4 linked regions of the Lonchura striata genome follow. The protein of the gene in region 1 interacts with the protein of each later gene in a pairwise test. Links are inferred from orthologs where the notes say so. Each region holds a gene or a part of one and is shown in the gene's direction. Other genes may lie near its edges. The genes, in order: CKS1B, MEOX1, SEPTIN3 and XIAP.

The links.
Region 2: the proteins of CKS1B (region 1) and MEOX1 interact in binary tests that used the Homo sapiens proteins (3 or more experiments, as listed by UniProt). The two-hybrid records come from large-scale screens. The link is inferred for Lonchura striata from reciprocal best matches to the Homo sapiens genes CKS1B and MEOX1.
Region 3: the proteins of CKS1B (region 1) and SEPTIN3 interact in binary tests that used the Homo sapiens proteins (3 or more experiments, as listed by UniProt). The two-hybrid records come from large-scale screens. The link is inferred for Lonchura striata from reciprocal best matches to the Homo sapiens genes CKS1B and SEPTIN3.
Region 4: the proteins of CKS1B (region 1) and XIAP interact in a two-hybrid assay, tested with the Homo sapiens proteins (3 studies listed by BioGRID and IntAct). The two-hybrid records come from large-scale screens. The link is inferred for Lonchura striata from reciprocal best matches to the Homo sapiens genes CKS1B and XIAP.

Annotation. Positions count from the first base shown.
Region 1 is NC_134635.1:907,709-913,840, reverse strand, and holds CKS1B (cyclin-dependent kinases regulatory subunit 1), read left to right. Parts: upstream 1-4,285; 5' UTR 4,286-4,317; coding exon 4,318-4,376; intron 4,377-4,695; coding exon 4,696-4,942; 3' UTR 4,943-5,140; downstream 5,141-6,132. Other genes in the region: FLAD1 (FAD synthase), read left to right, coding at 5,486-5,626, 5,728-6,132.
Region 2 is NC_134627.1:5,975,948-5,984,091, forward strand, and holds the start of MEOX1 (homeobox protein MOX-1), read left to right. Parts: upstream 1-4,813; 5' UTR 4,814-4,828; coding exon 4,829-5,207; intron 5,208-8,144. UniProt on the Homo sapiens protein: Mesodermal transcription factor that plays a key role in somitogenesis and is specifically required for sclerotome development. Required for maintenance of the sclerotome polarity and formation of the cranio-cervical joints.
Region 3 is NC_134607.1:58,163,946-58,172,028, reverse strand, and holds the start of SEPTIN3 (neuronal-specific septin-3), read left to right. Parts: upstream 1-4,728; 5' UTR 4,729-5,012; coding exon 5,013-5,022; intron 5,023-8,083. UniProt on the Homo sapiens protein: Filament-forming cytoskeletal GTPase. May play a role in cytokinesis.
Region 4 is NC_134616.1:9,795,015-9,803,181, forward strand, and holds the start of XIAP (E3 ubiquitin-protein ligase XIAP), read left to right. Parts: upstream 1-5,105; 5' UTR 5,106-5,190; intron 5,191-8,167. Other genes in the region: THOC2 (THO complex subunit 2), read right to left, coding at 4,087-4,148.

The DNA of each region.
Region 1 (6,132 bases):
CTGGGGGCAAAGTTGGCCCCTGCAGCCTCGGGGAGCTGTGTGACACTCCCACCTGTGGATCAGGGGGCTCAGGGCAGGTCTCCCCTGTTCCCCTTTCCTCAAGGCACTTGCATGCAGCAGGAACTTGGGCCAACCCGACTGTCCTGCCCTCCACAGCCTTGGCCCCACTGAGGGACAAGAGCTCTCCCCACTCCACTATGGTCCCACTGAGGGACAAGAGCTCTCCCCCCTTTACCACCTATAGGATGAAGCAAGGAGTTCAGACAGAACCCAACCCCTGATGCATCACAAGCCAGAGTCTTACCAACCACCAGGTGCTCTGTCCACCAAACCAAAACTGGGTAAATCCAGGCCAAGGAAAAGGCTCTCCCTGCTTGGAGCACTGCTTGGCACTAGCAGCTGCCTGCCCCACTTCACAAAGCCTGGCACACTGCCATGGGGACAGGGAAAGGAAAGCCAGAACAGGGCTGGAAATTGCACCTACATGATGCGAGGGGCAGCAGCACACGCGAGTGGGCCAGTCACTGATGTACCTCCTTGGCCATGCACACTAGCTCTGTGAAAGCCAGCCCCCCAGCTCAGCCATGGTGGTCCCACAGGCAGAGAGCTGTGCTGGCTGTTCCACAAAGTGCTTGTCCCCTCCAGGGGCCCCCGGCTGTTCAGTGCTGTGACCTTCCTGTGGCCGCAGCACCACTCCTCTAAAGAAAAGCAGGAAGCCCGGAGCCAGGAAGTTGCTGGCCCAGTGAGGGGCCAGTGCAGCCCTGTTGCCAGGGGAAGCTGGCTGGGCAGTATCAAGTGGCCGTGGAGCAGTGGGGTTTGCCCGTGATGGCCTGGCCACTGCTTGATGTGGGCCTAGGTTTGCTTGGCACGGCAGCTCTGTGAGCCCTGATGCTCCCCCAGGATAAGAGCAGAATGGAATTGCAAGGGGGCAGGAGTGTCTCCTTGGCCCCTTTCCACCACCCCAGGGCTTGGAGCAGCCATCACCTACAGGCAGAAAAGGGCTGATAAGCTCCCCAGCTGAAGCTCCTGCTCAGACGCATCTCTGCTTTTATAAGCTAGAGTCATTCCTGATTTTCTCAGAACCTTCGAGGCCAGTCTGCCCACATCACTCAACAGCCTGTTACAAGACGCATTGCAGCTCCCAGGCCTTGGAGACCAGAGGTGCTACCATCACAGCTCCCTCAACCCCAGAGTCCACCCCAGGGCATCAGAGCTCCCTCCCAGTGGGCTCCGAGTGCAAAAGGCAAACCTGGAAATATGTGAAGACACAGAACACCAGCCCTGCCTGAACAGGCAGTCCCAAGCCCCATCCCACAGGCTGCAGCCCTTCCCTTTGCCACGCAGATGCCAGGAGCTCCTGCCCCTGCAGCAGAGGATGAGCAGAGCAGCTGGAACAACTGCCCCCAAGGGGCTCTGGGGACATATCCTGGCCCAGCTGCTCCATGTGCCCTGCCACCACAGAAAGACAATGGATCATGAGAAACAGAAGGATGTGGACTACTTTCAGGCACCTGAGAGTGGGACTTCACACATCAGCCGGGGCAAGGAAGAGAAGCAGAGTGGGGATGCTCAGGGCTCCACTACCAACATCCTCCCTGGAAAAAACCTGGGAGCCAGAGGCCTGGAAAATACTAGTGGTTTGGCAAGAAATTGCAGCAAGGTGCAGATGGCTACACATACAGACCTCGCCCTGGGCAGGAGACCCCCTCTGCCCAACTGCAGTCAATGCTGAACCTCTGAGGCAGGGGTAAAGCAAAGGAGAACACTCAAATCCAGCCAATAGCTGATTTTTCCCTCACACATCACAGCAGCATCGAACAACATTTACGCATTCCTGCACACAACCTCTCCTTCGTTCTGAAGAGGGGGTTAGGAGATACCAGTGGAGATCTGGGGAAGAGGCTGGAGACCTCCCAGAAGGCAGAGGAGGCAGGCAGGATCCACCACCGAAGCCACTTAGCCCTCCACCGAAGTCCTTACCACATACTCCATCGCCGGCGGAGGGCAGGGCAGGCCCTGGGCAGGGAGCAGAGACACACAGCCCCTCTCGTCTGGCACTCCGACCTGCGGTTCGGGGACAAACAGGGAGTTAGCCAGCCCTGTCCCAGCCCGCTGAGGTGGGTGGGGGCCACGGTGCCAAGAGGCAGACCCTGCTCCTCCATGCTGTCCACAGGTGGATGGGGCTGTGGCTGCCATGCAACCTGCTGCTGGCACAAAGAGTAAGAGAAACCTGGAAGCTGCCTTCTTCCCATTGGAAATAAGATGGAGCTGGAATGCGCTGGGACAGGAAGAAGAGGTTGAGCCCTGCTTACACTGGCAAATGGCATTGTGGGCCTAGAGTCACTCTGTGACCCAAGAAAAGTGCTGAAACCGATCCTTGCCCAGCCTAAAAACCAGTACTGGAAAGCCACATGCAAGGATGGAGAGCAAAAGCAACCAGAGGGGCAGAACTGCCCCCTCCTCCATCCCCTCAGCTGGCATCCTGATGCAAAATTATAGACAGAGCCCCCAGGGCTGTGTCCCTTCCTCCCAGGGGAACTGGTGAAGACAGGAGTCGTGGAAAGACTCTACAAGTGGTGAGCTGGCAGAGGCAGGAAGCTCTGCAAGGGGAAAACAAGGCAAGCAAAGCACTTTTCTCACTCTTCTGACTCCCACTGCCATTGCCTAGTGAGGCAGTCCAGGCCAGGCTGGTGGAGCAGTGAAGGGCAGCAGACATGATTTACTGCTTGGCAGCAATTGTACCTTTATCTGCAGCCTGTGCCAGCTGTCGCCAGTAGCTTGGAAGGCAGCAAGATAAAGGAGAGCTATGCTTGGCCATGGCAGTGGAGATTGACCCTTGCAGTACCACGCCACCGCCAAGCAGAGGTGGCGACCACATCCTTTGGACATCGGGCACCGAGGATGGTGCCAGGGAAGGAGCATCATCACCCAGAGCCAGGGTGCTCAGCCTTACCACAGCCCATTTGTGTCCCTCCTGAGGATGGAACACTGCTATGCACAGCTTCACAGGGTGCCCAGTCAAGGCATTCCCCCACCAAAAGGCAGCAGGTGGATCCTGAAGCCCTCCTTGGCTGAGAGGAGATGGCATCTTCAGCCCTTCTGTTACAGGCTGACACCAGGGCAGCCCTGGCAAGCACCACAAAGCAGTGCCCTTTGCCCATAGACTTCTGTAGCGCCAACGTGGCAAGCAGGGCCCAGGTCACATTTCCTTGGAAGCCATGTCCGTGGTCTATAATCTGTGTGGGTGACCCCATTTAAGAGATTCGAGGGGAGAAGCAAGAACAGATGGACACAACACTGCTGGAGAGCAGACACAGATCTCCAAGGGGGAGCAGCTACCCCTTTCCACAACAGCTGAGTAAGCTCCAGGTACTCAGTGCTGCCTTACTTTGACGTACGAAAGGCAGGAGGGCAGAGCCCAGCCCCGCAGAGGGCGAGGAACCCTCCAAACCCAGCCGCTGTCCCGTTCCTGCCGGAGGTCATGCCAGTCTTGGGGCTCGGGGTTCTCCCTAGACCCTGCAGCACCTCTACAGCCGGTGTCCGTCCCGTGTCTCGCACCAGCACGGGGTGGGGAACGCAAGCCTGAGCCCCAGGCACACGCAGCCGGCCGCCACGTCGGGTGGGTCACCCCGGAACCTCAGCACAGCACGACACCGGCTCCTCCAACCCCCGTCGGGCGGCATGCAGGAGGCTCCGGGCCTGCCCCACGGCCAGGCTCCCTCACGCAGGGCAAACGAGGCAGCTAGGAAGGGCGACTCGGCCCTCACAGCACTGGGAGCGGCGGCGGCAGAACCCCCACTCGTTTCCGCGGAAGGCGGCGGCGGCGGCGAGCGATGTGGCCTCAGTCCAGCGACACTGCGGCCGCGGGGGCACCGCGGGGCCTGGCCGGGGCTCCCGGGCCCGGCGCGGGTCCCCCCTCCGCCATCCGCGCGCGCCCTCACCGCCCCGGCCGGCGCGCGCTCACCGGGCACCATCGGTCACGCGCGGGCCTCGCGCCGCCGCTCCCGCCGCTCCCGCGCGCCCCCTCTCCCGCCGCCCCCGCCGCCACTCACTTCCGGCCCGCGCCCCTCCGGCGTGGCCCCGCCGCGCCCGCGCCACGTGACCCGCGACGGCCAATCGCGGCCCGCGCCCGGCCCCGCGGGAAGCGGCGCCGCGGCCCCGCCGTGTCGCGCGCGCGCCGGCCAATGGGCGGCCGCCCCGCCCCGCCCCCCCCGGCGCGGCGCTGGCCAATGGGCGCGCGGGGCGGCGGCGTTTGAAAGCGCCGCGCGGGGGGCGGGGGCGCCAACGGCCGCCGAGGGAGGGCGCGGCGGGCCCGTCATGGCGCACAAACAGATCTACTACTCCGACAAGTACGACGATGAGGAGTTTGAGTACCGGTACGCAGCGGGGAGGGGTCCCGGTAGCGTCTGCTTGATAAGGATGCAGGGGTGTCGGTTAAAGCTTGCTTCGGTGAGGGAGGGAAATGCCGCGGTGGGGTGGAGCGGCGACTAACGGCTCGCGAGTGGGGGAGGGCAGCGGTGGGCGAGTCGTGGCTCCCTGCTGGAGCGAGAGGGGAATTGCCCTGGTAAGGCGGGGGGGCCTGGTGAGGGCTTTGTATCGGGTCACGGCGCAGCTCTCCGGTAGGGAATCTTCGTCCTGGGGAGTGAGGGGCTGTCGGGGGTGCCCCGGTGTTGACTGAGAGGTGCGGCGCTACAGGCACGTGATGCTGCCCAAGGACATCGCCAAGCTGGTGCCCAAGACCCACCTGATGTCGGAGTCGGAGTGGCGGAACCTGGGGGTGCAGCAGAGCCAGGGCTGGGTCCACTACATGATCCACGAGCCAGGTGAGCGCCGCGGGGCAGCGGGTGGCGCCCAGGGGGCCCGGCCTGACCCCCTCTTTTGCCCCGCAGAGCCCCACATCCTGCTCTTCCGACGGCCACTGCCGAAGAAGCCGGAAAAGTGAGTGGCCCCTGGTCTGCCGAAGCTCCCAGTCCTTCCACATTGAGACAACACCTTTCTCCTTCTTCTCCTCGGCATTTCTCGGGGCCTTCACCCCGTGACCCTCGACGCTGCCTGTGCGTCGTTTTGACTGCTCGGCCCGGGTTCCGGAGGCCCTTCCCGTTGCGATGCCTTCAAAATTTTAATAAAGTGATGTTTGGGAGCCGTTTGTCTGCAGTGCCGGGGGAGGTGGGTGGAGGGCGAAGGGGTCCCGGTACCGCGGAGTCTGTGCCCGGGGGTTTCCCGAGGAGGCTCCCCGGGGTCTGGGAGGTGGGGAAGAGAGAGCCTCCCCGCGCCCACCGGAGACGGGGGCCGCACGCGCCCCGGCCCAGCGGGCACGGCCATGGAGGCGGAGCTGCACCGGCACCCCCCTCTGCCCGCCCCTGCGATGGTTCCGTCCCCGCAGGTCCCGCCTCTCGGCCAATGGGAGCTGGCGGGGCCGCGTGACGGACGTGCGGGCCGGCCCGTGAGCGCGCGGGGCGGTGCGCGCGGGTGCCCGGGCGGCCCCATGTGGTGGGTGCTGCGGGCTGCGGGGCGAGTGCGCGGGCCCGCCGCCTGGCGCCCCATGGCCGCTTCGGGCCCCGCAGCGGCGGCCCGCGGATCCGCCAGCACCGCCGGCATCATTGTCATCGGCGACGAGATTCTCAAGGTGCGGCCGCGGGTGGGCCTGGGCTGCGGGCGTGGGGCGGGCTGGGGCCTGCGGCTGGGGTCGGGGCGCCCCGCCGTCATGGGCGCCTCCGTTCCCCTCAGGGCTACACGCAGGATACAAACTCCTTCTTCATGTGCCGGCGGCTGCGTGCTCTCGGCGTGAGTGTCGCCCGGATCTCCGTGGTCCCCGATGACGTGGAGGCCATTGCCAGTGAGGTGGCCGCCTTTGCTGCTCGCTTCACCTACGTGCTGACTTCCGGGGGCATCGGCCCCACGCACGATGATGTGACCTTCGAGGCCGTGGCTAAGGCCTTTGGGGAGAGGGTCGTGCTCCACCCCGAGCTGGTGGCCCTGGTGCACGAATTCTTTGGCAAGACGGAGGTGCAGTGCCCTGAGATGAAGCTGGCTCGCGTCCCCGAGTCCTCTCGCCTCAACTATGGCACAGACAGGCACACCGGCAGCACCTTCAAGTACCCGCTGGTCAGTGTGCGCAATGTCTACATCTTC
Region 2 (8,144 bases), on another chromosome or scaffold:
TCTATTCAAACTCCACACCCACAATTCCAATTTTATCATTCCCTTTTGGAAGCTTCTCCACAGCCTCAGGTCAGTGCAGTGCTCTCCTGGGGGTCAGTGCCTGGCAGCACAGAAAGTCTCAAATTCTCACCAATATTACACTTCTGCTATTCTTTTATTCTTCCAGACAGGCTGAGAAAACTGTTCAAATGAGTGATAGATACACAGAGCCCATCTCTGGGCCTGGCCTTTCCTCCTCAGCTCTCACAGCTGCTGCAGCCCCCTTCTCTCTGTTAAAGATACATATTATAATATTGGCTTTTTGCATATGTTAAAATATATTTTCCATGTGTAGTGTTAAAGTAACTTTGTTCTAAAAATATAGTTTTTATTTCTGTTGTTAATTAAACTGAGTGAAATAGCTGATGTAAGTATGCTTGTGTTAAAATGCCTGCTTGGATGGGATAACATCCAATGAATATATGAAAAAGACACCTGATACAGATCTGCCAACCACCAGCACTCACCGTCTGAAGAGAGTGCAGACCAAAGCCCAAAAACTGGAGGAAATAAGAATACACTAAAACCAAAAGGTATTTAAGGGATATCCCCAAAAGTAACAGTGTGCTCTTGCCTGAGTGCAAAGATGCACCTGGCCATAACAACCTTTACTCTATAATCCTTATCTCTTATTGTGTCCTTAATCTCCTATTAAAAAGTTTATTAAACTTTTAAATTTTCCCAAGAAAGTGAACATGTTTTTCACAAGTGCTGCTGTGGCTGCCCTTGTCACTCCTTCTCTGGAAAAAAACCTCTGCTGGGTGTGCAGAGGGCAGAAGAAGGGTCAGCTTCTGGGGCTGCTCCTTAGCTGGGGAAATCCCACAGAGAGAAAGCTCAAGGATAAATGGACAGAGAAAAAGCTCAAGGATAAATGGATAGAGAAAAAGCTGAAGGATAAATGGATAGAGAAAAAGCTGAAGGATAAATGGACAGAGGAAAAGCTCAAGGATAAATGCACAGAGGAGAAGCTCAAGGATAAAGGGAAAGAGGAAAAGCTGAATGATAAATGCGCAGAGAAAAAGCTCCAGGATAAATGCACAGAGGCAAAGCTCAAGGATAAATGGACAGAGAAAAAGCTGAAGGATAAATGGACAGATGAAAAGGTGAAGGATAAATGCACAGAGAAAAAGCTCCAGGATAAATGGATAGAGAAAAGCTCAAGGATAAATGGACAGAGGAAAAGCTCAAGGATAAAGGAAGAGAGTTAACAGGTCCAGGATAAATGCACAGAGAAAAGGTTAAGGATAAATGCACAGAGGAAAAGCTGAAGGATAAAGAAAGAGAGGAACAGCTCCAGGAAAAATGCACAGAGAAAAAGCTCAAGGATAAATGCACAGACGAAAAGCTGAAGGATAAATGCACAGAGGAAAAGCTCAAGGAAAATTCCCTGCCTCCCTACGGGAGCGCTCCTCACCAGCCCCACCTCCCCATGCGTGCCATCCTCCCCATGCATTTCCCAGCGGCGGGCCGCAGGGCTGTTGACTTTGCGGAGGTTGTTGATTTTGCGGAGGTGGTTGATTTGGCGGAGGTTGTTGACCCTGCGGAGGTTGTTGACCCTGCGGAGGTTAAAGGCACCAAACGGGGCTCGGCAGGCGGGCTCCCGCTGTGTCCCCGCAGGAGCCGTGGGAAGATGCCGCGGCCCCGGCCCCCGCCGCGGCGCCGAGTGGCGGCGGCAGCTGCGCGGCCGCGGAGCCCCGCGGGCTCCCAGCGCAGGGGGCACCGGGGATCTGCTGCTCCCACATCTGGGATGCAGCAGCGACGGCGAGAGCTGTCCCGGCGATGAGGGCGGGGGGGAAGACAAACGCTAAGCAATAGGACTGAGAAGCAAGCTCCGGCTTTATTCAAAGATACCTTAGCTTGTATGGGGTATTCTACAGGCATGGGCAGCGGTAAGCTCTGACCGCTTCATTTACAAAGGGCTTTGTTTTATTTCTCCTGCGTGCGGTTACAGATGTAGCTAAGTTCTCTCTCCAAGCCAAGTTTGTCATCTCTGAGCCATGCCTTCCAAGGACAGAGCATATCTTTGAGGCTATGCCTGTTCTTATTATCCCGTTCCCAGACCTTGTACCACTATGCAATTTCCCAGAAACAGAGACTGGTTTCCAAGCTGTGTATCCCAAGTTCCACAAAAGCCTGATTCTGGGGCCTTAGACAGAGGTTTTTTGGAACAGGTATTCCATAGAATCATGGCCTTGTTCTAACAACCATTCCCCAACACCCGAGTGGTCTCACCTGGAGGGAGACGATGTGGGAATCCCTGCTGGGGATCTGATCCTGACCCAAGTGGGTTTGGAACTAAGGGACAATCCTCCTTTCTTCTGTCCCTGTGTGAAAAATGCCAATCAGTTGGGTTTTTTTAATTTTAATAATAATAAAATGGTTATAAAAATAACAATATAATCACAGTAATAAAGTTTAGAGTTAGGACAATTACAAGACAATAAAAAGCAAAGAATTACAGATGTCTGGATGCTCTCGGACACTAGAAGTGTGCTTTGTGAACAAAGGAATAACTTTAAAAGCAATAGCCTGTTGTATATTCATATATCTCATACATGATGCATAAATTCTTTGCAAATTAAGAACTTTTTTTGGTTTTGTCAACTTCTTCTCCTTAATCTTGTTGGTTCTAGAAAGACAGAGAGAAGGCAGAAGAATGTTTGTCTTTTCTGATAAGGAGGCTGTAATTTTTTATGGGCCCCCTTCGCTACATCTCTGTGTGAAGAGTTTCTTGATTATTTCATCTTCTTGCTTGATCTTGTAACAAATCCTGTATTGTAGAGTTTCTATTTTAACATTATGTTGTAACCTAAAACTACATTTAACATACTACGCAAGAGAATTAATACAGCATAACTTTTTAACATTACACATATAATATTTATTGTAACATTTGTGGAAAGCTAATCATAAAATATGCATTTTTCACACCTGCAAGGACAAATGTTTGCTAATTAGAGAGATCTTTTTGTAGACTGAAGGCAGAACTGCAAAACATGTGAATTCATGCAAATTCTGAGTGACACATGTAAGTGAAGTGTTATACATATGTCAACACACACACACACATAGAGAATATAAATTAAATATTCTGCATGGGCAAAACCTTCTGGACTCTGACTTGGATTCTGACAGTGCCTGAAATATGTGCAGCATTCACAAATTCCTCAAAATCTTTCAGAAAAGGAGTCTGAGGGTCTTCCTCCTGCCTGTGAATATGAAATGCTTTTAAATGTTTACTATTTAATGCAGCAGAGCAACAGATTTAAGTGTTTAGGTGAGTTCTTTCTAGAGAATTAATTAGCTCTCAGATATTGAGAATTTTGCATGAAAATTTAGATTCCTGTGAGAGAAAGGAATTTGATGTTCCTGTTCAGAAGGATCTAAACGAAAATAATTTGATTTCCTGGAAAAAGGCCAAGTTCTAAAAACCAACAGATATAACAGCATAAACACATTCCCCACCTCACCCAGATTCCATTGAATTTTACAGTTCTGAACGATAAAAAAACCAAAATAACTTCAGTATCACTTCAGCTCTTGTGAAAAATGAAGACCTCATGTCTGTTAAATCCCTGTGCCCCTGAGACAGCACAAAACCCAGCAGCAGTGGTGGGAGAAGGGACAGAGGCACACACAACGTGGAGCAAGGCCAGGGGAGTATTTGAAATGGTTGCAAGCAGATTTCTGGAAACATGGAACACATGCCTACCTTAATTGTCATTAAAAATATTAATAACCCTGGCATAGCAGCGTTTGGGACATCCTCAGCTGCCACACTTCTGGGAAAAGGGGATTGAGAACAGATTCCCTGTTAATGTCTTTTCAGCTGGGATGGCTCTAGGGCCTAAAAAAACTCTGCTTTCTGTTAGGAAAAACTATAAAATGTTCAACAAAAGATGAAAAACATGTCTTTCATTGGCATAAAATCAGGACATTTCCTTGCAGGAGGGTGAATTGAAAATTCCCTAGAAAGTAGAATACAGAAAGAATAATTGCCACTGGCAGCAGACTCCAACCCTCGGCAAATATATGTGTTACAAATCTAACAAAACAAACAAATATTACTCAAAGCCTTGCATGTGTGTACAAGCCAGGTTTAATATTTTTTTTTAACCTTAGGATTGGGCTTTAAATTATATATAATTAGTGAAGTCCTTTCTTACTTCTATTTCCCACTTTAGTTCTTGAAATTTGGTGTCTATTGAATCCTGTTTTAGGGCTTTTTCTAAACCCAAGACGGAGAATTTTGTTAACAGTGCAATAAAAATAACTTCATAGTGTTACAAGGAAACATTAAAGACTTTTTTTTGTGTGTGCTGCTCTTTCCCTCGAAAAAAAAAAAAACTACAGACATTGTTTCTTTAAAAGGCTCCATCTGCAAATCCCATTAGATGTGCATATAAGGTTTCAGATGATTAATAGCTGCCTGCTTTGCTTTGGTTGGAGGGGCTGAGGGTATGTGTGTTAACCCCTCCCTCCCTTCGCTCACATTTCACTTCACAAACTTGCCACCGTCTCCCCGGCACAGTATTTAAAAAGTGTTTCCCTCGTGCCCAGCACTTCACCAGGGAGCAGCTCATGGCGTAATTCTGCTCCCCCAGCCAGGGCAATGAAGACCTTTAGAGCCAGAGTTGCTAAAGCAGCAAACCCGCAGCAGCACCAAAGCCACGCGCAGACTGTTGTTTAGGGAGGCGACCTGTGAAACTCGGGAGAGTTTCCCTGCGCTTCCCCCGTGCCTCTGGAGGCTGAGCGGAGCAGGCGGGAGCCGAGGCCGGCAGCGGCGCGGATGGAGCCCGGCAGCAGCGGCTGCCTGCGCAGCGCGCAGCGCCCCGCGCCCAGCGCAGCGCCGGGGCTCGGCCGCGGCCCCGCGGCGCCCTTCTCCTTCCAGCAGAAAGCACTCTGCGCCGCTTACCCCGACTTCTCAGCCTCCTGCCTGGTGACAGCTCCGCACAGCTTCCCCCAGGAGCAGCGCCCCTCGTTCCACTGCCCCGAGTGGCACCTGGCAGCAGGAGACAGCGCGGGACTGGCCCTGGCTGCTGGCGAGGCACAGGGCAGCAGCCCCAGCCTGCTGAGGCTGCCTGTGCCTCTGGAGGAAGATGAGGCAGCGGCGAACCCTACAAGTGACTCTGAGAAAAAGCCATCCCGAAGGAAAAAGGAAAGCGCAGGTAGGTGATATGAAATCAGGGTTGTGGTAGACTGCAGGAGATGGAATGAGAACACCTGGTGAGACTGGGACTTAAGAAAGAAAGCTGCTGAGCAAAACATTCCATAGTATTTGACTGGGGAAACTTTAGATGGTAACAGAACTGTTATTGTCTTATTCTTATTCTTATTCTTACTCTTATTCTTACTCTTATTCTTACTCTTATTCTTACTCTTATTCTTACTCTTATTCTTACTCTTATTCTTACTCTTATTCTTACTCTTATTCTTACTCTTATTCTTACTCTTATTCTTACTCTTATTCTTACTCTTACCCTTATCCTTACCCTTATCCTTACCCTTAATTACTCTTACTCTTACTCTTACTCTTAATTACTCTTACTCTTACTCTTCTTTTTCTGGTCTTTGTATTTCACTCCTGCACATCTTGGGTACTGAACATTTTACTCTCCAGCACAATGCACATTTGCTGTAACTGAGCAGGAGTCACATGGCATGTGCACACAGAGCTGAATTCTAGGGTGTGGAGTTATCCAGTCACACCTGCCATTTGTCTGAGCAAAAGAGAATGGCAGAGAGCAAAGATCCCTCATCTTGAGCTGCCTGTGCTAATAGGGAATGTCATATTAGGAATTTGACATCTCAGTTTATGGTAAGAAGTACAAGAGGCAAAGTCTTCCTTTAAATATAAATTCTGTTTGGTCTCACTAAATGTCAAATATTTTAACCTCAGAGCAGAAGGTTCAAAAACTTTGCCCATCAGTAAAATGTCCAACAATGCAGAAAATGTACATGGTTTTCATTGTGTCATCCTAGCTAGCAAAGAATTCTTTTTACACTGTAAAAATCAATAATTTTGTAATTATACAAACTCTAAGTTGCTGATAACTCAGATCCAAATCAGTGAAATATGCATAAAATTGTTTTTTCTTAGGAAGTTGTTACAATTTAAGATGCTCTTATGCATTCAAATGCCACAGTATTCACATACAAGCTACAGTGTGCTTTTCCCCACAGTCCTGCCAACAAGTGGAGAATATTTTCCAGTAGCCTAATTTCACAGGCAGAGAATGCAGGGATAAAAATATTAATTGATTGGTTTCTAGCTTTTGCAGACATTTGTAGAATTTAAGCTCATTTATACTAAAAAAAGCATGTTTAGGCAAAATTTTCCCAAATACAAAGAAGTTTAAATAAAATAGCAATTTAAAAGGTGAACAACGCTTTCATTAAAACATCAGCTAATCATAGGTAAACAGCAGATTTCAGCTTACTCACATTAGAGGGATATCTTTATCCTTAAAGAGACTGATACCCTCTTTTAAGTGGAAGAAAAACATTCCTTTATTTTCTCTTACTAGCACTCTTCACACTTCCTTTTCATACTTGCTGCTGTTCCCTACTCTCTTCCTTTCAGGGAGCTGTAAGCAATGACATCCCTGAGAGGTCTGGGCTTCCACCTTCCAGTGACCACTGCAGCCCTGGGGAGGGGCAGCTGCTAAATTCCACCCAGCATGGAACTGGTTGGGATCCTGGAAGGAGACACACTCCTTGGGAAAGGCACACATCTGCCTCTGGCTCCTTTCCTTTCCTTTCCTTTCCTTTCCTTTCCTTTCCTTTCCTTTCCTTTCCTTTCCTTTCCTTTCCTTTCCTTTCCTTTCCTTTCCTTTCCTTTCCCCTTTCCCCTTTCCCCTTTCCCCTTTCCCCTTTCCCCTTTCCCCTTTCCCCTTTCCCCTTTCCCCTTTCCCCTTTCCCCTTTCCCCTTTCCCCTTTCCCCTTTCCCCTTTCCCCTTTCCCCTTTCCCCTTTCCCCTTTCCCCTTTCCCCTTTCCCCTTTCCCCTTTCCCCTTTCCCCTTTCCCCTTTCCCCTTTCTTCTTTTTAAACTGGCTGTACAGTAGAAAAAACCTGTCCAAGATGATTTTGTCCTTTCACACGTTTGTCATTTCTCACATTCTGTTGTCAAAACTGAAGCAGCTGGGCCACGTTTCCACTTCTGGAATCTCACAGAACCCCAACCATGGACAAGGATTATTTCTCTTGACAATACCCTGTGGCACGCAGTGTCCTTGAGAGATTCCTAGCTACACACCCTACTCTGCCCCAGAAATACCCAAATATCCATTTTAAATTATTCCCACTGTCTTTTGGGGATGCAGACTGGTGGACCGCCCCTTGGAAAGGGAATCTGTCCCATGTACTTTGCACTGGCTGCTTGTTTTTAGTTTCTGCCCTGTGCTGAAGGCTTGGAGAGCTGCTGCACCCTCCACGTGTCCCTGAGGGCAGCAGAAGCCCCAGGGGAGGCTTTGGGCTCAAGGCTCCCAGGAGCTGGTGGCAAAGGTCCCAGCAAGAGATGCACACTTCAAATCCTGCTTCCCCCTGCTCCCTCCCAAGTCACACTTGTGAAATGTGATAGTGTGTCTGTGCAGTACAAAGGGGATTGTTCAACTGAGGGCAAAAACATGGGCAGAAACTTGTGAAGTTTTGTTCCTGTACATTCCCCATCTTTTTTTGTGGGTTTCTGAAGTAGCAGAAGCAGCATGGAACAAACCAAACTAATTCCCTGGAGTGGAAAGCAGCCCAGCTGCAGCGTGTGCCACACTGCTCCCTTGTGCATTCCCGGACCTGTGTTTGGTTTCTCCTTTTCTGATGGGCACAGATAAGGCCAGGTCAGTCACAAAACCTCACAGATTTCTCCAGTTTTACTGCTTTGGCCACCAAAATGACACCTAGAAGATGAAGCTGCACATTGTGCTCATATTGTTACCATTTTGGTTATCATTTCTGTGTAGAAATATTATGCTAGGACACACAGAGCTGCGTTGTGTACTGGTTACACACAAAAATTAAGTAACTAATTCTCAGCATAAAAAAACCGCTACTACCGTGTTTAGTTCAGGGAATCTAGCAGGAGGAGCAAGAGGGGAGAAAGAGTCAAGGAA
Region 3 (8,083 bases), on another chromosome or scaffold:
ATGGGATAGTGTGTGAAGCTACTTGCACTTGTTCAGTCACTTGCACTGCAAAGCTCTACAGCTTTTCTCTTTCTTAACTGTTTCACAATGAAAGCTGTGAAGCATCCCTCAGCCTTTTTTTTCCCCTGCATGTCTCTGACAAGGAACATTGAGCCTGCCACCTAAATGGGCCTATTGTGCCACCTTTGCTTTCTGGACCCAAGCCGTATAAGGTGAGTCTGGCACAAAATCCCATGTTTATAGACTTTCTGCAGTGTCACAGGTATGACCAGCCACCAAAGTGCTCTATGAAGCTGTGACACTGGGGCTGAGAGTGATATCCCCATCCTCTCTCTCTCTGACAGCCCAGTGCAATACCCAGTGTATACAGGGAGGTTTGAGAGAGCAAGGAGCCTGTGGCAGAAAGTTGTCTCTTCTCCTCCTACCCCAACAGGCACCCTTTGCATGCATGTAGGTGCAATGGTGCTATCTATGAATGCTCTGGACACAGAGGGATTCTGTGTGTCCCACTCCTGCATATCCCAGGTATGTCAGCTGGTGCCACCATCCTATGTGCACACATCTGTGCATCCTGTGCCAGCCAGTATATTTGCAACTCATATCTCCAGTGTCCTTCCATTGTTATGGCTCTGTGCTCTAGTCCCCAATGGCTCCTTTCAGCAGCAGGGGTTCCTCAGGCTAGCTCTGAAAATCTGCCACAGCTCCTGGCTTGTGTCACTCAGCCTCACCTGTGAACCTGGGAGCAGGAAGTTTTCTCCTCCATTCTCAAAGAAAGAAGGAGAGTTCATTGGGCTGCTGTGAGTGGTTTATGGAGGGGAATGCAGTGAGTGGGATTACTCTTCTGCCCAAAGCTTTCTTGCCCTGGCAAGCAAAGGCTCAAAGCACAAGGTGCAGCCTGAAAGTTGGTAATTCTCTGGGGATCCAAGTTAATTTTTAGCTCTAAGGAATGGATCAGGACATCCTGCAGATATCCTGGGTCTTCCTGGGACATTTCATCTACCAGACTGCAATTGCATTACCATTCTTTTCCACACCAAAACCAGGCACACTGGCAGGAGCTTTCTGGCGGTGTTTCAGACAGAGGAAAGTCAAGAGTCCTTTCATTCAGCCAGGTAACAGATACAGTGATGCAAGTCCCCTAACTGGGGAGTCTCACTTAAGAGGGAAATGCAGTGAATAGGATTACTGCTGTGCCCAAAGTTATACTTGCCCAGGCAAGCAAAGACTCAAAAGAGCAGGAGTAGTCTGAAACAGATACATTTTTATAACTTGGGGCTGTGAAATGGAAACGACCAGGGGCTGGGTTGCATGGCATGGTGTGCCACCCTCACCTGCACAGCTCACATTCCCTGCCCTCTGGCACATCACAGCCATATCTTCAAACACCAACTGGGAAACCTGCTTCCTCACCTCAACTCCCTGATAGGTGGGATTGCCCTGTAAATGGAAACAGCTGAGCTGTGAGGTAGTATAAAAACTTCTCCACTGGAGCTGAGGGGCTTGGAGCAGTCAGGAAGAAGTTAAACTGTAGGGAGGGGAGTCTGCACTCACAGGGGTCCCCTCTCCCCTGCTCTGTGCTCTCCTCTGAGTGCTGCCGTGCCTGTGCTGAGCTCCACTCTGCCCGTGACTCAATGCAGAAACTGAGCAAAAGAAGACAGCAACTGGGTGAGGGCTGGATTAGAGGGAAACTAATTGTTCATCTCCTCTGGCTTACTTTTTGTGCTGTTAGTCCTGACACAATCAGTATTAAGCCAGGTATTTTCCATGGCTATGAAGGACTTTATTGTCAGCAGTGTCAAAGGCTTCCCCAGTGGAAGTGTGTGACAGACCGTGTGGTTGAAGTTTTGTTTTCCTGTTGCTCCCCTGGGAGCTGCCTCCCTTTAGCACTGGGCAGGCAGCAAGGAGCAGTCTGCAGTGAGGTTTCCTTTACAAGAGGGTAGGTCTCCATCCACCTGGCTCCTGTGCCAGCTACACTGCCAGGCTGTCTGGGAATAGTTAAAGGCAAATGCTGCCTGAAAACTGAGATGGTTTCTCCTGTGTGGGATGAGTGCTGCCAGAAAGACCTCAGGGGAGAATGAAATAGTTACAGATACTGAATTAAACTGCATAAAGAATCAGAGAAGGTCATTATTGCTGGAAATACTACAAGTATCAGGTTGGTTTTTTTCATGTTTTCTGTCTCTTTGCCCTTAAGGAAGCAGAGAACTTGCACTGTCCTGAGCTCTGCCTTCCACCAGTATTCCCAGTAATGATGTGGATCATTGGATGGTGATTCCTCTTCCACTTCCCTCAGCCCTGGTCACCTGAAATAATGCAATCTTTGTCCCTGCCACACTGTGGGTGCCTGTCTCTCCTTTTGTTTGCTCTCACTTGCTCATCAAACCATTCATATTCTCATCCCATGCCACCAAAACACCTTTCTTCTTTCCTCCTTGTTTATTATGTTGCCCTTCAAAGTTTCTTACAGTGAGAAAGGTGTAAAGTGGCAAGCTGAATTTCTCTTGACCCTGAAAATGCCACAAAGCTGGCAAAATTAAGAAACAATCATAATAATGATAATAATGAAGAAGCAAAAGAAAATCAGCATAAGGGAATGAAGTGTCAATTTGGAAGAACATCCAACAAGTGATCACTAAACTTGTGCAGTGGAATATAAATTGTTGCACTGAAATATGCCATTTGAGGGGGGACAAAACTAAGAGAGGAAGGGAAGGCATTTCAAAAATTCAAATATTTATTTATTTTTTTTTAATCACACCCAGTGTCCTTGGAAGCAGGCAGCACAGGCCTGACCTGGCAGGTCTGCATCACTCCTCCACCTCCTGCCATAGGAACAGGGCACGGGGTCATGTTGTGGGGCTGCTGGTGGCAGAGGTCAGGAAGGTGCAGGACAAGGGCAGGAGTGGTCATGGCACCCAGCGTGGGAGCCAGCCATGCAGGCCACAAGAGCCCCATTGTCCCAGCTGGAGGCGGGCTGGCCGGACAGGGCTGGAGGTGGGGGCTCAAGCATGTGCATGACGGCAGCCCCAGGAGCCCTGCACCCCGAAACACCCTGACAGCAGGGACCGCCCGGGACCCCGGCCCCTGCCCTGCACCTCTGCTTCCAGCCACAGCCGACCGCCATGGAGGAGGAGATGGGCCTTCACCGCAGCTGCCTGTCCGCCGCAGGGAGCCCCAGCCGCACGCCGGGCCCCGCCGCTGCCCGCCCGAAGCGGAGCTGCCTCTCGGTCACCCTGCGCCGTGCCCCCGGGGCCGCCGGGCCGCTGCCCTGGCAGCGGCTGCGGGGCCCGGCCCCCGTCACCCCAATCCTCCCGCGGCCCCGGCCCGTGGCGGCCGAGGGGCCCCAGCGGCACGGCAGCTCTGACGGGGCCGAGGCCACCTCGGTGGCGAAGATGGGGCTGTCCTGTGCCCCACCACGCTACGGTGGGTCTCCCTGACGGGTTGGGCTGGGCTGGCAGAGGGAGGGTGGGAGGGAGGCACCAAGGGGTCCCTCGGCGATGGCGTGGAGCCCAGCATGGGGCAGGACCCTTCAGAAGAGGTAGGGTGATGAGAGGGAGGATGGGGGCTTCCTTCCCTTAGAGTAATTTCCTCTTGACCCACACCAGAATCATGGGTGGGCAATAGCTGCTGGGAGGACAGCCCGTGTGTTTGTGAGACTGGCAGCCAGCAGGGAGACGGGCAACTGTGGCTGCCATGTCAGGACATTTTCTGGGTGCTGGAGTGCCTGCCTGTCGGAAACCAGTCTGTCCACTGCTCAGCCTAGCCCGGGGTAGCTGCTGACAATTACTTCTAAATGTTCCTGTAACCTGCAGTGGGTGCAGTTTTTGTCCCAGAGCACTTGAAAAAGAGGAACCCCAAACCCTTGCCAAGTCTGCCAGGCATCCCACAGCCTGGCCATCACCCAGGGGTGTTGTCTTGTGGAGGAACACGTGGTGCTCCTGTCATCCCACTGACTGGAGGGTCAGAGCATTCCCATGTGTTGGTGCCCCAGCACAGCATGACAGGGACACAGTGCATGCCGGAGCCAGGGCTCACAGATGTAGGAGAAGGAAATGCAAAGCAGGGAAAAGGCATCCCCATCCAAAGATGCAAGCAGCCAGAGACATCCACACAGCTCTCTAGGCACAGACACATCCACAGGGCACATGGAGGTGCCTGCCAGAGCACACAGGGATATGACCCGTGTACCCCAACATGGTCCAGGTGGCAGGACCTGTCCGTGCTCACCAGACGCAGCCATACACATGTTTGTACACACATGCACGCAGAGGGGACAGCGCTGCCTCTGCCGCTGCGCCTTGGGCTGACAGCCAGGAATCATGGTGCTGGAGGAGAAAAGGTTTCTCACACCTTCACAGCCAAGCTGAAGGGCAAATCTCTTTTGATGAACCAACACATTCTCAATTTCCTCCCTCTGGGAAAGCAAGAGATTTTGCAATCCCCTGATCCTACGAAATACCTAGGGGCAAAGAGCACCGTTTCTTAACCCCGCCGGAACTAAGCTGTGAAGGGTTAAATATGCCCCTCCCTAAACAAGCAGAGATGCTGAAAAGGCTGGGGAATTGGGAGGGAAAAGGGCAGGAAAATGCCTGTGGGGTGTGGGTGTGCAATGAGGGCCCCTCCAGGACATGGGGGCCCCATCGGCAGCGGCCCCTCCGATCCCGAGGCCATGCACCCCCCCGCAAGTCAGGGAGGCTGGGGGGGCCTGGGATGGAGCCGGGGCCTGGGATGGAGCCGGGGGAGGGTGCGCGGGGGGAGATTTTGCGGAGATGTTTAATATTCAGGTCACATGACGATGGCAGCAGGAGCAGCACCAGCATCCCCGCTCTGCTGAAATAGCCACTGGAGAAGGAAGGGAAGGAGAAAGGGGGAGAAGAGGACACAGGGAAGAAAGACAAAGGTAAAAGCAAGTGGAGCTTTGTAGTTCACCGTGCTGCTTCATCAGCGTCAGGCTAGAAAAGTGGGGGGAGACCCACCCCCTTGGGAGAGGATTCGGAGACAAAGGAAGCTTCATGTTCAAAGGTAGGATGCTCCGGGCTTGGCAGGGCTGGGCAACGCCAGAGGGACACCGCTGGGGCTTTTTGCGCAGGCATCCTCCCCCGTGCCCCCACGCTGCCCAGCTCTGGGCATGGAGGAAGGATAACCCCGGAGGGCAGTGGGAGAAATCGGTCTTTCTCTCTTTTGTCTTTCCTCTGGTGTTTTTTTTGGTTTTTTTTTTTTTTTGGTGGCAGCAGTTTTGTATGAAGAAGGAGCAGGGCTGGTTGTGGTGCTGATGCAGAGTAGCTAGAGCCAGGCACTGCTTTGAAAGGAAGGGATAATCCAGCTGGGGAGTGTCCACAAGCTCCTCAGCACCTGGCTTGTCCCTTGCCAGTGACAGGCAGTGGGGATGTCCTGTGCCTCTCTCTCCCTGGGCATCTGCACAGGAGCCAGCAGGCATGTGAGCAGGGGCACAGGCAGCTGTGGTGGTGTGGCTACCACGGTCCAGGGGTGCTCAGCATCCTCCTGCCTTGTGATATAGCTGTGCCACTCAAGGGGTGAACTGGGATACAGGACTGTATCTCCAGACTGTAGAGCTGGAGAGCAGCACCAAGGGCATAGCTGGGGCTGTGGTGGCTGGGCTGGGGATGTGTCCAGCTCCTTCACCTCCAGATTTTGCATCTCCAGAGAGTCTTCAGCACATGCTGCCCTAGATTTCACTGCAAGCTGGGCTTTTGCCCAAGCTCTTTGCAGAGTGCTGAGGGGAAGAAAGGTTGCTGTCAGGAAGGCTGCAGCAGCCCAGAGGACTGGGATGATCTTCAAGCCAGGCAAAATGATCTGGTAAGAAGAATGGTTCTGTTCTGTGCTCTGAGGTCAGGCAGTACATCCGGCGGTGGGGCTCAGCTATTGCCCTGCACAGCAGAAAGACATGCCCTGGGGTCATCATAGGAACTGAGTAGGGAAAGGTATTTTTTTAGTGGAGAGATGCTCAGTCCAGCACCTCTGCAGATCTGAAGCAAGGAGCCCATGATGCCCATGAGCTCCAGGGAGGCTGTACTACTGGAGTAGCTGCTTGCTTTCTTTACTAGGAACCTGGCATCCTGGCCCCTTTGAGGGCCTGCTTCTGCCAGTCACCTTCAGATCTGCAGGTTCAGGTTTTGAACTCATCCCTCCTCCCTGTTCCATATCTACAGGGAGTGGGACTGTGGGTCCAGGACCGTATGGGTAGAAGGGGCTGGGGTGAGATGTGTGTGAGGATCACTGCCTCCAGCTGCAGAGGGACAACCTCATGCTACACTGGAGGAGAGCTGCAGCAAGGCCATCCATGTGTTTTGTGGGGGTTAAATAGCTTTTCCTTGCTGGAAGCTGGTTTGTGGTGAGCACTGTGTGCAGCTCTCCCTCCCTCTTGCCAGACAAAGGATGGGAAGGCAGGGGGAGGGGATGCGACTGTATCTGGGTTATCAGGACATAGTAGATGTTGGTCCCCACTACCTGAGCCCCCAGGGGTCCTGCAGGGCCACCTCTGTCCCCACACAAGTCCTGCGAACATCAGAGCATGAAGGGTGAGCTGCAGTAGTGGTGTCTGCTGCTGGCCACGTATGCTGGCCTTCCAGGAAGAGGTTCTGGGGTGGCTCAATGGGTATCAGAAGCAGGAGCTAATTGGGACAATGGGGACCTCTCTGGGCATTCATTCTGGTTCTTCCTGTCCCTGCCTCAAAAGCTATGCCTTCCCTTGATCCAGTCACATGGAGCATCTCCTGTGAGCCAGATATTATTCCCTAAATGCCCAGCCCAGGGCCACCTCATATCGGATCTGGGCAGCAGGGTGGTATCACCAGCTACAGCCCTCTTAAATGAGCTTCTCTTAGCACAGAGAACAAAGCAGCAAGGAAAAGGGAGGCCTTGCAAACAGCAGATGGTAAGTGGTTAACCTTTGCTAGCCATACTGGCTGTAGTGCCCTCTAACGCATTCATTACAGGGGACAGCTGCGAGGGCCACGGGATGTGCCCAGGACACAGAATGCCACCCCTTGACCAGCCACTCAGTGTGTCAGGAGCCTTCCTAGCACCATTAGCTTTAGTGCACATAAAACAGAGCCACTCCCAGGAGAAGAGGCAGGCATGTTTCATGTCTCAAGGTGCCTCTTACAGTTCTGGTCCTGGTTTTGCACACCCCAGCACTAGGCTGTTCCACAGCTGGCTCCTTGAATTCACCTGTAGGAGGCAAAAGGTCAAAAGTCATATGCAGAAAGATGAGCCCTGGGAAAATTTCTGCAAAATGGGGACTTCCCTGCCTAAGGCTGTATGGGAAGGAACCCCACACAGAGAAGGCGTCAAGTGGCCTAGAGGAGAAAAGTAGGTGGCTTATCCTGACACCTTGAATGTTCTGATATAAAATCTAGGAAATATATTTAAGGAGACTTTGGGAAATCTTTTCTCCTGGTCTCAGGGTTTTCTATAGCTGCCCAAGAACCTGAATCTGAAACATCTGCCCTAGTCACTGCAAGCTCCTGGCTCCAACAGTGAAGCTTGCAAAGGAATGGTCTTGTATTATGATGTCCACAGCAGTTAGCAACATCTACTGGCTCTGGGCAAGGCTTTCCTTGGTGAGACTGAGGGATGAGTTATGAACCTCTTAGTGAGCCTTGAGGATGACAGAAAATTCCCTCCTTCCTTCTCCCTGTATAAGAACAAATGTTGAAGGAATAAAGGAGACAGTAACAGATTCCCTGAGGAAAAGCTACTACCTAGGCAGTGAAAGGGTCACAGCCCACATGGCCCATGTTCTGCACCCATCCCATGAAGCTGCGCAGCTAGGCTTTCTTCCTATCTTGACCTGTTCCCTTCCACCTTTGGAGTTTATTTGCCCCCATTTCTCCAGTAGCCAAGTGCCTCACTGGGCCCACAGCCCCCTGTCCCTAATTCCCTCATTGTTCCATTTCTCTCTCTCTTCTCCCATTCTTAGGGCTAGGTAGGATCCCAGCAGGGCTGTGTGGGGTGTATATGGAGAATGCTGCAGCAGCATAAGGGACACGGCACAGCCACACAACCATGACACAGTGATGTGGGCAGCCTGGGAGAGGACGAATGAAGGGTAGGGTGCAGA
Region 4 (8,167 bases), on another chromosome or scaffold:
CTTAATACAAAATCAGAGTTTCAACCCCTTTTCATTCCCTCTCCAGCAGTATCAAAATAGTATTAACAACACCACGTTACTTTAAGACCCAAATCTGCTTGATCAAAATAGTAAAAAAACTCCAAGACGATCTGCAAATCAACATGCTTAATATTTGCAATTAGAACCACCTGAATTATTAAATTGGAGGAAAAAAAAGAGGGCAAAAGTATTTCTTTTTATGATTCTGTTCTTTTCTAGAGGAATTCTCTCAAAGCAAGACCACCTTTTCTGTAGGGGCTGCCAGGCAGTACAGCTGCACTGATTTAATGGCTTGTTGCTGCAGAAATGGGACACATTCACAAACACTTCTGCCCTTCTCAGTTGCAGTTTGGGCCCTCCCATCAGTTAGATCAGTGAAACTGAGAAACCTGGCAGAAAACTGGTCAAAACCCAAATCTCCAGCCACCTCTGCAAGTTGAAGCACTTACTAGGAGGCCACAGAGGCACCCTGCTGACTGAAGACAAGGTACAAGCCCTCCTTTCCAGTAACAAGCTGAGTGATTAGTTCATCTAGTCTTAGCTGAGTGCATGAAATTAAAATCAAAACAGTTGCACCTTCACAAGACACAATCTGGTAAGTGTTCATTTGACTTATTACTCTGACCTGGTAGCTCATTGCTGCAAGCTTATGATGGAGGACTTCCCCTGCTCTACTAAAACCTACATCTCTTCATCTGAAAGTAAAACTGTCAAAAATATTTTTAAAAAAACACAAAATTACTTTTGAAAACCACAGTTTCAAAATTAAATTTATTTTGGACTATGATGGGATAGATTCTGAAACAGTGTGAACAAGTTTGCATGGCAGAGGCAGCACCGGAACTGAGACCTCCCAACTTGTACACCACGTCCTATAACCTCCATTTCACTCCCACATGGGGATTAAAGCAGTAATTATCACAAAGTGCATGTGCCTGCTAGCATTTAAGTATATGCATAACTCAACTGATGCAGGTAGTTCTTTAGCTGAGATAAAGTACAATCAAGTGCATTTTGCAGATAGGATGGCACAACTAAACCAAACTCTCTTTTGCTGATTCTCAGCCCTTCACTTGCATGAGCAATGTTACAGTGTTGAGTTAAAGTAACGACCAAGCTACAAGCGCCTGAAAGATCAATTCCCAAAATTTCACATTCACAGAATGTTAAGCTTCTTCAGTTTACCCTGAGGCTTAACATAGTGTATGAACTGCCAGGCAGGTACTCTATTAAAGCCCTCCATCCATGCTAAAGGCTCCTTGATGCGTTGAATCTCTCACAAAACAAGGTAAGGTACCAGTTACTATGTAACTTATAAATGCCCATGTGGGCTGCAGTCATAGATCAGCATCTTCTTGTGGAAATAATTTTCCTTCAAACACAGCACACACAAGTAGGTCTACAAGGAGTCCAGACTGAGCAGCGTAAGTCATCACACTTGGATTCCAACTTCATTTGCACACCAGTATCTGGCAGTAGCAAATAAATGAATATATTTTAATAAAGTGTACTTAGAGACAGATCTGAACTTGAAACTACCACATTTGTGTATTTTTATTAGATACTATTACACGTCAGTAGCTTAATTAATTAAATCCAAAGCTTGTACAGTTTTGACCGATGTCTCTGAACAATGTCTTGGAAGCAAATGGTCACTGCTGCATTACTAATTAACATTATGACACTCTTAAGACATAAAATCCTTACCTTCTGATTTCTGGATAGCACTGTTAAATCATGACAAGTTGATCACATAATCAAAAATATCACACCATTGAAAAAAATAAAATACAAAAAAAACCCAAAACAAAAAAAAAAAGTATAATTATCTTAGAGTATCCATTATTAATCCTAGTAGATTAATAAATTCTAGTAGAAGTTGAAATGCCAAATTGAAAGAAAGCATTTTCTTCTCTCAATATAGTTTCATATTCCCCCAAAACATAGAAATGTGTTCTCATTTAGGTAACTACTGCCAAAATACTATCTCAACTGATCTAGCCAGATCCTGTAAGCCATTTCATACTCCAGCAAGTAAATATTTTTCCATAAGAACTAATCTTTTTTAGCAATTATGAAGGGTTTTTATCCCCCTAAAATGCCTACCAAAAACCTTCTAAATTTTTGTAATTCTTCTATTTGCTAGTAATGTCAGTTTTGCCATTCTGTAGCATCCTTCCCCTCCCCACTTTTCTAACATCATTTTAATGAATTGTCCTCACTTTCAACCACAAAGACCAAGGGTAAACTTACACCTAGACGTAATTTTTATTCTTGGGCATACTCGTATTAGACAAATAATTCAATAAAAATAAGTAGTGTTATTGCATTTATTCCCTTTTTACTTTAATGCTTAAAAACACTTCATGTGTTTCATTCTGAAATGATAGCATCCCAGCTGCGTTTTCCTCTAGTTAATCAGAAGATAGGAAGTTTTGGAAAAAGAAACAAAAAGTTACACACTGAAGACTCTCCCATTAAAGCTGTCTTCCTAAAAAAGTTCTCTAAATATTGTCTACATGCATATACTTTAGATTCCAGAAAATAAGTTCATGCATATTTCTCAAATTTCTAAAGCTACCACTGCAAAACCTGACAACTGTTATCCAGACACAATTACATTTCTTTTAAAACATATGGCCTCATCTGCAAATTGCTCTTTAAGTCACGCCTGGAACACCATTTAAGCAGTCTTCCAAATGAAGTGCAAGTACCACAAATACAAGAATCTAGCTAATCATTTTGTTTTATTGGTCCCACAGCAGATGAACACTCTCCTCCCACCCTGTTAAAGAAGTCCTGCTCTGAGGGGAGAGAACAATCCTAGAAGGTTTTATCATGGTCACAAGCCATGTAAGTTGCCTCTTACAAAGCTCAGAGAGCTGGGAACCCAGTGAGAACAGTGCAGTTGCCATTACGTGATCAGCTGTGAAATGTCTGTTCTCCTGCAAACTCCACCAGCCTCTCAACATGTTCAGCTTGTGTACTAACACAAATAATGGCTCCAGCATGATTCAAACTAAAAATTACACGGCTATAAAGGGGGCCCCCTTCACTACAAAATGGTGGCTCTGGAAAGAACAGTGTTTTGTGCCGGGATTCTCTACATTCTCTAATCTCCAACCCACTGCCATTTCCCCTCATGCACAAAGAAAATTCATTGCCAAAGCTGCACAAGCTTTCAGAAAACACGAACAAAAGAAAATAAAATGAGTGATTATCAGGAAGTGTTTCTCTAAGTGATCCCTGCAACATTCATATTTAAAACTGAAAAATTTAAAATTTTGTTGTTTCTTACAACAAAAAGCAAAAGCACATGGAAGAATTAAAATAAAAGCGCATAAAAAACATATAGCTAGTGCAAAGAACACCCCTGTTAAGCTAACAGAGAAACATGAAATGACCAAACTGGTGAAGCGCCCTTTGAAGAGCTGTACTCCTGAAACACAACATTTAGTGAACTTGCCACATAAAGATGGCTTAAAACAAACACAGGCCCACAATGGAAAGCTCCTGGCACACCTGGATTAGTTTGAGAGGTGGCAACCGAACCCCTCCGTGAACAAACGTTACTTTGTGGAATAGAACAGGAGTGACTACCTAACCGTACTCTGCCTGGATCAAAGAATACAGGGCCAGTCCCACCGGAATCGGTAAAAAAGCGGGAACGGGGGCTGAGGCCTCTGCCAGAAAGGTCAGTACTGTAGAGCAGCGACACAGGCACGCTTCGGGGTCCGCATTACCTCGGGGGGCGGCTGAAGATGAGCCCGACCCCCGCCAAGCCCGGCCCGGAGCTGGATGGGGCGCTCGGGGCGCCGGCACAGCCGGGCCCAGCTACGGCGGCCGGGCGTCGGCGGAGGGCGGCAGCACCCGGCCGGACCCGACGGGAGAGCGGCCCAGGCCCTCCTCCCGACCACGGCTTCGACCCCACGTCCAGCAGCAAGGACGCAGCCCCGGCCGAAGGCCTCTGCGCCGCCCCCCAGCCTCCCCGGGCCGCCGAGGCCCTCGCCCCCCTCTCGCAGGCCGCAGCGCCCATCCCTCCCCACGGCGAGGCCCCGCACTCACAACTCGCTCTTGCCGCCTTTCTCCCAGTTCTTTATCCACTCGGCCGGGAGCAGCGCCGCCATCTTCCCCGTGCAGCGCCGAGGGCCCGGATGGAGCAGCGGCGGCGCCGGGTCAGAGGGGACGGACGGGCCGCGAGAAACCGCGGGACGCGGCCGCGCCGAGCGGGGAGGCGGCGGGGCGGACTGCGCCTGCGCGCGGGGGCCGCGGGGCGGTGCCACGCCCGCGCGCGTGCGTTAGAACCGCGGGGCGGGGCGGGGCGCCTCGCGCGCGTGCGCGCTGAAGTCCCGGGGGCGTCGGGCTCCGCGGGCGCGCGTTAGGGACGCGTGGTGCTGGGGGCGTGCGCGCGCGCGCGCGCATTAGAGCCGCGTGGTTTTGTGTGTGCGTGCGCGCGTTAGAGCCGCGTGGTTGTGTGTGTGTGTGTGTGTGTGTGTGTGTGTGTGTGTGTGTGTGCGCGTGTGCGCGCGTTAGAACCGCGTAGTGGTTTGTGTGTGCGTGTGCGCGTTAGATCCGCATGGTTGTGCGTGTGTGTGTGCGGTTAGAGCCGCGTGGTGGTGTGATGGTGTGCGCTGGTTAGAGCCGTGTGCCGGTCTGTGTGCGCGGGTTAGAGCCGTGTGCCGGTCTGTGTGTCCTGGTTACAGCTGTATGCCGGTCTGTGTGTCCGGGCTACAGCCGTGTGCCGGTCTGTGTGTCCTGGTTACAGCCGTGTGCCGGTCTGTGTGTCCTGGTTACAGCCGTGTGTCAGTCTGTGTCTGTGTGTCCTGGTTACAGCCATGTGTCAGTCTGTGTCTGTGTGTCCGGGTTACAGCCGTGTGTCGGTCTGTGTGTCCTGGTTACAGCCATGTGTCGGTCCGTGTCTGTGTGTCCTGGTTACAGCCGTGTGCCGGTCTGTGTCTGTGTGTCCTGGTTACAGCCGTGTGTCGGTCCGTGTCCGCGTTAGAGCCGCGGCGCGCGCGCGTTGGAGGCGTGGGGCGGGTGCCCGCGCGTGGCGCGTGCGTCGGTGCAGCGGGCGCATGTGCGCACGCGCGGTGCGGGTGCGCGTGAGGCGCCGCCGGCCCCGAGCACGGCGGAGCGGCGAGATGTCTGCTCGGAGAGAGGGCGAGAATGGTAAATCGTTTGAATAAATAGGCGGTTAAAAAGGGATTGTGTAAAGCTTGCTATGACACGTCTAAATGGTCCTTCCGATACAAGCACTTAGGACAAGCAGTTGTATGGACCTCGTATTCCGCGTGTCGCCCCTAATGCGTGTGCCTATTTTATTACATGTCGCTTGTCTCCATTAAGTTTCTGCAAGTTGTTCTGTGTTCCCTTCAGTTGCTAATTGGGATATTAGGGTTAAAACACTCCATTTGGTCGGGTAGCAAATGTTTTTAGTCAGACATTTCTCTTTCCTCTCAAGCCACCTACGTTCTCAGTCTTGTACATGCTTCCTCCTCTACAGTAGTGTCAATTGTTTCACAAATACAATGAAACTTCAGCAAATGGGGAAATTGAAATAAAATCTAAAGGTGAGGCCCCACAGCCCCTGTGCCGTTATCGGTGCCAGCACTGCTGTGCTCGCTGCCTTGTTCTCCACTCTGAACTGAAACGTGCAGCTTGCTTGTTTTATATATATATATATATATATAGGTGTAACAGCTTTCCACTCGCAAAATAGCTCTGATCAGGAAGTCTAGCATTTCAGCAAATCTACATAATTCTGCCTGAGACAGGGACTGGTGTTGTTTCAGTTACCATTCTCAGCCAGTTTCTGCGAGCTGTGCAGAATATTGTGCAGAAGGCTGCTTATGAACAACGCCTACTTCAAGGGGATCCCTTACAACCCTAAACTCTGCAGTAACACAAGGAGTAAAGGAGGCAGATTCTCTGCTTCTCATACTTATATTTTAATTATATGGAGACCACATTCCAGGCATACTATATGCAGTGTAATAGAAGATACACTCAGTTTACAAATGCCTAATCTATTTCTGATAGATTATTTTTAAAATAAAAATTCAATAAATATATTGAAAACATATGTATAAATGATAAGCATAGAATTGCAGGCCCGAGGAATAAAATGAGAGGGTGTTATAAGCAAATGCAATAAGTCTATTTAGAAGATAAGCCTAAGAGTCACATAAACAGAAAACAAGAATCTAACAAAATATATTAGGTGCAAGGATGTATGTAGGAATAGTTATGTAAGGTCTGAAGATAAAAATTTGAGATTTTGCCTTCATGATGAGGAGGAAGAGGCAGTCATGGAGAAATGCAGTAGAATAAAGCCATCAAATCATTGCAGGACCAACAGATTAATTCCCAAGTTTACTTAAGGAATTTAAACCTCTTATTTCTTGAAGTATATTAGTAACGGACTGGGACAGGCTGAAAATAAAAGACAGTACATGCAATGCAGAAATACACATGACAGAACCAGTTTTAAAATCTACTCTGAGAAGAGTCTTGATTCCACAGCATTTCTATAGTACTATACAAAACCTTTAGTGGTTATTTAACATAACATTTAATATTTATATAAAATACATTCTCCTTAATTAATATGGATTCTATATATGACATATAAGCTCTAAAACATAGACATTGCATTTTGTATTGCATAAAGTAATGTAGGCAAAGCAAAATATTTTTAAAATAAGTATGTACCAATTCCTTCTCAGAATGACGTATTTTTGACACAGAGTAGTCTGTTCCACACTATAAAGTCATATTCAGTTCTGACTTATCCTTGCTTTTGTGGTGGACATCTCTAGATAGTGAAATGTCTTTCTCCGTAGCACTTGATGTTAGCTGAACTGGGAGGAATTCCTAGGTTAAAAAATAAGACTTATATTTTAGTTCTGTAAAACAGCCTTTATAGTTCATTCTTCATCTTTTCATGAGGCTTTTATTTGCTAGAAAAAGCATCCTGGGCATCCTCAGATTTGTATCAATAAGTCAGAGAACCTTGTTAAAAGCCAGGACAATTTTGTGTTTCTGTTGTTTCAACAGGTTTACATTTACCTTTCTAAATAATGGAATAAAATAAAATGTTGAAAAGAAGGAAGAATGATGCCTGCAAATGCAGGATATGTCACAGCACAATCTTAAATCACCTACTGTGCTTCCTGCCTGAATAAAGAAGTGCTCTGAAGGCTTTGTCCGAGCTACATTAAAGGAAATGCCTCTGTCACCACTATGGTAACAGCTGGATAGCAGCAGGAAGTTATTTAACTGAACAGTAAATACAAGGTTTTCAAGGCTGTAGTACATTATCCAGCAAATACATAGCTAAAAAAATATCAGTGGTAATTGGATCTTATAAAAATGTATTTATTCTTGGTTTTCAAAATAAGTACTACAGCCATCTATTGGGAGAGCTGGAAATGTACAAAAGCAAAAGAAATAAAACATCCAACAGCTCTTTTCCTCTGTATTAACCAGTTCCATTATTCATGTGACAAGGCACAACTTTATTATCTGCTTTGAGGGTTAAACAATTGAGTGCTTTACTTTTTCTGCACAGACAATTAAGAATTACTTTTTGGAAGAAATTATTTTTTTATTATTTGGCTTTAGTATCATGTCCACGTAAGAATTAATTGTTCTAAATTCCCCTTTTTCTTTTAACAGTAATTGTTTCATGATTGTACCAGTTCTTTTTCTGTAGACATTTCCTAAATTCTCACACAGAAAAAATAAAGGTACAAAGGAGGCATGAGTTCACATTGTTAAGATGATTTCCATTTGGTAAAAGCTGTTTAGGCAAGTAAGAATCTTAAACATTAGCTAATACTGGCTGTTTCCATTCATCTGGACAGCTGAAATGAGAAACATTCTTAGACAGTGATTGTCAAATACATCTTGCAACTTTTTGGTTTTTTCATAGCTAAACTCAGTGTCATTGCATCATCCTGAGCTATAAAATGTCCCAGATTTAATGAAGATCACACCATTATGGAGAGCTTTGCTTATTTTCAGCTCACAGAAATCAGCATTCTTTCACTCAGAGTTGTTTGCTTTTCTTACCACTTGGCAGCACAGGCAAGAGCCAACTGTAGATTTAGGTTCCATTTCCAAACGCAATTGGCCTGGATATCTT